2 linked regions of the Yarrowia lipolytica genome follow. The protein of the gene in region 2 interacts with the protein of the main gene of each other region in a pairwise test. Links are inferred from orthologs where the notes say so. Each region holds a gene or a part of one and is shown on either strand. Other genes may lie near its edges.

Evidence for each region. The genes of interacting proteins can lie anywhere in the genome.
Region 1: the proteins of YALI1_C31281g (region 2) and YALI1_B22533g interact in a two-hybrid assay, tested with the Schizosaccharomyces pombe proteins (2 studies listed by BioGRID). The link is inferred for Yarrowia lipolytica from reciprocal best matches to the Schizosaccharomyces pombe genes mdv1 and atp11.

What each region holds. Positions count from the first base shown.
Region 1 is NC_090771.1:2,252,284-2,254,864, forward strand, and holds YALI1_B22533g (uncharacterized protein), read left to right. Parts: upstream 1-1,022; coding exon 1,023-1,991; downstream 1,992-2,581. UniProt on the Schizosaccharomyces pombe protein: Essential for the assembly of the mitochondrial F1-F0 complex. May interact with the alpha and/or beta subunits of F1-ATPase.
Region 2 is NC_090772.1:3,126,567-3,130,327, reverse strand, and holds YALI1_C31281g (uncharacterized protein), read right to left. Parts: upstream 2,228-3,761; coding exon 473-2,227; downstream 1-472. Other genes in the region: YALI1_C31299g (uncharacterized protein), read right to left, coding at 58-176, 227-365.

The sequences.
Region 1 (2,581 bases), on a different chromosome or scaffold from region 2:
GTATCATTCTCCGTGGTACATACTTGTACCAAGTACATATTTAATTTATTTATCGTCATCTGAGATACGATGCGTACCGTACTCGTATTTGTTGTAAGTGTTTGATCTTCCAATCTAGCCACAGTATATACAGTAATAATTACAGCACATCTGGTACTCACACCAACATCGTACAAGTACGTATCTTATCTCACAGAGAAAAAAGGAAAAACGACGACAGCCGAGCAGAGCACAGGGTTTCAGCTATCGTGCTTGCAACCGAGACATGGCATCGTATTCGTGACTTCAAAAGTCTCTTCTCTTGGTGCGATATTATTTAAAAACTGCAAGCTTGCCTTAGTTAATATATCACTCCCCTTCGTTCACTCTTGGCCCACTGGGCTCTCTGTACGGCACGAACGCGCCTAAGGTCTAACTTGAAAGATATCTACAAGTACTGGTGATAGCAGCCATATTCAGCTTATTAATCAAAATGATCTTATCGGATCCGTTCCACAGCCGATCACTTTACGACTATCAATCGTAGAGTTTCTCGGAGTCCGACCGAGCCGAAGCACACTTCATTGTGAATTGTGAATTGCATGACGTCTGAGAAAACCCCATTTCGATCTGAAGCAACATCTATTATTTATTTTTACAAGCAGAAGAATCACATTGTCATCTCTCCTTCAACTTTCAAAGCTTTTGGGCGCTAATCAGATGTACAGGACCTTTTTTTCAAGTGCACGCCACAATAATAGTGTATGAAATACCGACGATACTTATTTGTAGTTGAGAACATCAGGATAGGTCACAAGAGATTACCTATTTCATGCACCAAAAATCACGATAGCGCATCAATTATTGCACCTCATCCTCTGAATGTTGTTTTCCGAGAAACCAGCTAGATATTCCGCACAACCGCTAATCGAACCCACACACACAACAAAGGCATCACAGACAACGCCTCGACCTCCACGTGACCTGAATCAGGCTTGCAAATCAACTCTGATCAAATAGTCCAACCAACCTCAACACACACAATGAGACCATTTCTCAAGAAGGCACCCATTAAAGCCCTGCGTCAGGCTTCTGGCTATTCTGGCTCCCTCAGCAACCTGCGTGTCCAATGGGCTCGTCCTGATATCGGACGAACTTCTCTTTCTGCCAATGCATCCACCCAGGCTGACGTTCTGGCTCGATACCAGGATAAGCTGAAGCAGAAGGCTGCCGCCGAGGGCGTGGAGTCTGTTGACGAGCTCAAGGAGAAGCTTGCTCCAGAGATTGAGGCTACTCTCAAGAAGCTCAATGAGTCTGATCCTCTCGCCAAGGTGCTGGAACAGGCCTGGAGTGAAAAAAAGACGATCCTTGAAGAGGGAGGAGAGGAGGCCAAGACTCTGACTGAGAAGCTTGGCGAGGTTCCCCCCGTTCCGAAGAACGAGCTCAAGAACCTCGACAGCTTCGTCAAGCTGGACAAGTTTAAGGAACTTGGAAAGCAAGAAATTGAGTTCCTGTGGAGAGCCCGACATATTAACAACGAGCGCGCTCTGTGTGCTGTCGTTGACCCCCAGCTCTTCTACAAGATGTTCCTCAATGGCCGAAAGCACCCCATGTTCGTTCTGCCACTGCCCAAGGGAGACGAGGGATGTGAGATGCACATTGTGCAGTGGAACTTTGTTGGAGAGCACCTGACCCACGTCATCTTCACCACTCTGGCCGAGTTCAAGCTCCACCAGGACTTCGCTAGACCCCATACAACTCTCATGTTCCACACTGACCTTGCTGCTGACAAGGACTGTGTTCTTCTGAATGGTCAGGTCGAGAAGGACTCTGCCATGTCTCTCCAGGATGCCCAGTTCCTTATCCTGGCTCTCCAGGAGTTCTACGGAGCTACCATCACCGACCCAGAGACCACAAAGCGACGACAAGCTCTTCTGCAGTCCTTCACAGAGGGCTCCGACAACTTCCCCATCGATATGGTGATCGAGGAGATTGAGGCTTTCACCAAGTGAACATTGTAGATAGAAGTACATACTGAATTGATAGACGTACATACTGTAAGTGTGCGAATGAACTGTTGTTGTGTACCTTGCGATCTACTGAAGACCATATAAAGACATAAAGACGAGATTAATTAATATAACTGGCACTACAATTGACTGGTAAGTTCTGGAAGTTGACTGTGACATCGAGAACACAACAGTATGTATGTACTACAATGATATTACCTGCCATCACAAAGGTAGATATCCCTTAGTTGTATGAGATTCTTATAATAGTTTCCACCAAATCATTTCAGATCTTAAAGGTACAGTACATACTGATTTGGTAGAGAGACTTGCGGTGGAATTTGTTTCGAACTTCTACAGCATGTATTAAACGCTCCTCCTGTAGGTAAGTGACTTTGTAGACCAGTTCTCTGAACTGTACTTAGAAAAATTTAAGGATGTAGAAGAAAATGACAAAATGACATATTTGTGTTCACGTGATTTGTTTTGTTTGTTGTTTTTTTTTTTAAAAAAAGAACCTCTCGTGCGGGTGTTCCTTATTTTCTCCAAAGCCACTGCTACAGTATATAAGTAATTGTAATTATTAATAGATC
Region 2 (3,761 bases):
TTTACGAATTGCTATCTGGTGGATTTGAGCCACTCACTTCCGGTCATCACACTCAATCTATCTTATATACATATTGCCTCTCTGGGCTTTTCCTGGATAGCTGACTGTGGGTAAAAACACCTGGAAAGAAAACTGTGGGGCGGTTGACACTCTTATGGTAAGCCAAACATCAACTGCTGAGTAGCAGTAACGGGCAAGTTCAGTCTGCCTCACACCAACTGTCAACATGATTCCGGACACGAGACACAGTCTACACCACCCATTTTCATTGCTGCAAATGGTGAAGACAGCAAACATCTCTGGCAGCATTGAGGGCCTCTGCTCCGCTCATTTTCGGTGGCACCCATGAGAGTAGTTGAGACCATTTGTCTTCTCACGATTCCACGACCTAGCTTCGCTCACAATGTCCCGTGAAATGAAACAATTCGCTCCGCTCATGATCCCAAAATTATTAGTACTCGCATCGCTAGTACTAACAGGCCCACACACCCACCACTCCATCTCCACCACCTTCCACCAAATAGCCTTCCTTGGTCTTCACCACCGTGCTTTCTGGCGCCTCGGGATCTCCCTCTCCTCGACCCAGACTCCAATGCTTCTCAGCTGCTCTGTCATAAATCTTGACGGTGTTTTCTCCATTGGTACTGGCGATTCTTCGGTTGTCGAAATCCAACGAAGTAATGGGCGAATCATACGCAAACGCGTCAAAGATGTTGCCCATTCGCAGATCCCAGATTCGAACAGACCGGTCACGAGATCCGGTTGCAAGATGCACGTCGTCAAACTGCAGACACGTTACCGCAGCGGTATGGCCCTGTAGGGTTCGCTGCACCTGTCCGGACCGCAAATCCCAAAGACGCACAATACCGTCAGCGGTACCGGTGGCAAGGGCTGCATCTCTGCACTGCACTGCGCCGATGAAGGGTGCGTTTGCGTCGAACCCGGTTCGGAGCCGATCGTTCGAGTACAGCGCATTCTGCGCAGAATTGGCCCAAATCACGTCCAGAGTCTGAACACATCGTCCAGTGTTGAGATCCCATTGTCGAATGGTTTTGTCAGCAGAACCAGACACCAGCGTATGGTCTGAGAAATGAATGGCAGAGATTTCACCCACGTGACTGTCGAGCACGTGAATGGTGTAGGCATCATCACCTTCATCCTGGGCATCGGGATTACTAACCACCTGGTCGAGGTTCCAGACCCGAATGGTAGCGTCAGCTGATCCGGTGGCAAGCACGTTATTGTCGACCTGAAGACACGTAACTGATGCATTGTGGCCCTTGAGATCGGTCACGAGATCGCCACGTGACAGGTCCCACACCTTGAGTCCCAGATCCATGCCTGCAGAAACCATGGTTCCGAACGGAATGTCAAAGTCCAGGCACGTGACCGAATCGGAATGCGCTTTGATTTGTCGGATCTTGTTGCCTGGCTCGTAGTACTGTTGCAGAGTGGGTTGCGTTTTTCGTCGGCTGAGGTTTCGTCGGGGAAGGGTCTTTTGACTTGCGCTCTGTAGTTTCTCAGACACACTCTTCAGATCGACCACATCATCCTCCAACTCCTCCGGGGTTCGGGTCTCGTAATCATGTCTCTGGATTACCTCCTCCTTCTCCTCCTCCATCTGTTCCAGCTCTGCATCGATTCGCAGCACTTCACTTTCCAGCTGGAACTCCTGCTGCTCCAAAGACGCCACTCTGTCAAACACAATCTGTCGCATGGACTGCAAGTGCGCCACTCGAGCGTCAATCTCGGTGATTTCATTTGCCGCCAGTGCCTTGCGCACCTCCAACAAGTCCAGCTTGTGACTCAGGCTCTTCTTGCCCTCCACCAGCTGTTCTCGAGCACTTTTTTCGCCGACTTTTGATCCATCCCCCAGAAGCAGCTGAGAGCCCACAGAGTGCTCCGGAAGCGTGGCCTGGAAGCCCTGAAACAGCGAAAACTGATTTTCGTTGCTGGGAATGTCCACCAGCATCTCATCCGGCAACAAAACGTCCTTGGAAGAAGAGGTGATGCGAACCAACTCGGACGGCCGCTTCGAGAAGGAAAAAATTCGCTTCTGGAACGCGGGCCGCGAAATGTCGCGCATCACGTGACTCTGGCTCAGATCGCCCGACACCAACGTCGACGCCGTGGCCGCCACGACTTTCGAAAAATGCGTTACGTCGGACATTGCTGTGTGTAGAGGAAAGGTTGGGGTGGGGGTTTGGAGGATCTGATATGTGAACATGCAGGTGTGACAATTTGGGGGGTTGGGGGTATCAAAATGAACATCTGAATGAGGAGAAAATGGCCATGTAATTATTTTTGTATTTGGACTACTACATCGCCAGATAAATGGCCCCGTCTACGATTACTAAGTCCACCCTAGGAACTCTAAATATTATAATCAAATGTGGTTGGATGGGCACTCATGCATGAACCTCAGCTCGCGCGTGTGGAATAATTGGTGTTCGGTGAACGTGATAAGGCACGTGACCAACTACAGGTTATGAGCAATTAAGAGAGAGAGAGAAACATAATGTGTGTAGATTTGGATCGGGATAGGTTATGACTTGGTGGATATGTTCTGTTGGGATTCTGTTGGGAAAGGTCAAGTACAGGATAAGTAAATTTGAGTACGAGCCGGATACGGAAGTGCGAGTATGTGGAAATATTGTATGAGAAAGTAGGGTGAACTTGGGATGAGGAAATGAGGCGTTGAGAGCTAAATTGAATGGTAGTGGTTATGTTTTGGTCGCTTCCCTGGAACCCATTATTTGGACCCCCAGGTCACTTTCAGTCTTAACTAAAGTCCAACTAGGCGGAGATAGGTTTTTGAAAACTGGTTCGACTCTTACAATCGAGCTCGAAAAATTGTGGCAGAGAGCTGATTTTTTTAAATATGGCAGCAAATGATGCTAGAAGGACTTCTGTTAAGTCTCCAGGTTGTCAATGGCTCTATTAATTGTAGAGGACGGGCGTTCAGCAGTGAGGACTCTGGCTATGATGTGCTTGTTGCACAATATCGAGCTGAAGAGAAGAATGAAGTTATTTTATGTCGCCAGACTGTTCACTGGATCTCGCCAGATGATAATTTCCCAGGTTTCCAAGCTGTGGTAGGGCAGTTTACTAGTGACTTTTGTTTTCAAAAAGGAGGCCTTTGGATGGTCATAAACATGTTCTGGCGATAGGAGGAAGTATCAGAGATGTTTCAATGAACGTTTCAACCAATGGCTACATCCATTTGGCGAGATTTATAAAACTCTTGCTATTGTTCAAGACACCGTTATGTTCTGTTGTGTCCATCAACGTATGTCTGAACAACATACAACACGGGCTCTCAAGATCCACCGACAGAGAATGACTAAGCTAGGCGACTTTGAGTGTATTTGAATGCTTTTTTTTTTAACACGAATTTGAACTCTTGAGTCCTCAACTGTGTCTGTTCATTGACCGCAGAGCTGGGTCTGTACTGACGACTTTTACAAGTATTGGAGACAGACAGTTAGTCTGTTAGAATCAAAACAGGAGAAGGAGAAAGAGTCAACATACCAAGCAACAAAAGGTTCGACCTACATGGACACTGGTATTTCTGTAACCAAAACAGCTATATCATTGTATGACAACACCGTTGTGAGAGAAGAGTATGGCTTATAACAGGAGAATCGCGCCTCCGACAAAAGCGAGGAGTTGACCGTTGGATTTATCATATCTAGAATCCTAATAGACCGTTTCTGTTATCCCATATCTCCAATACCACCCAACAAGTACACAAGTTTTTG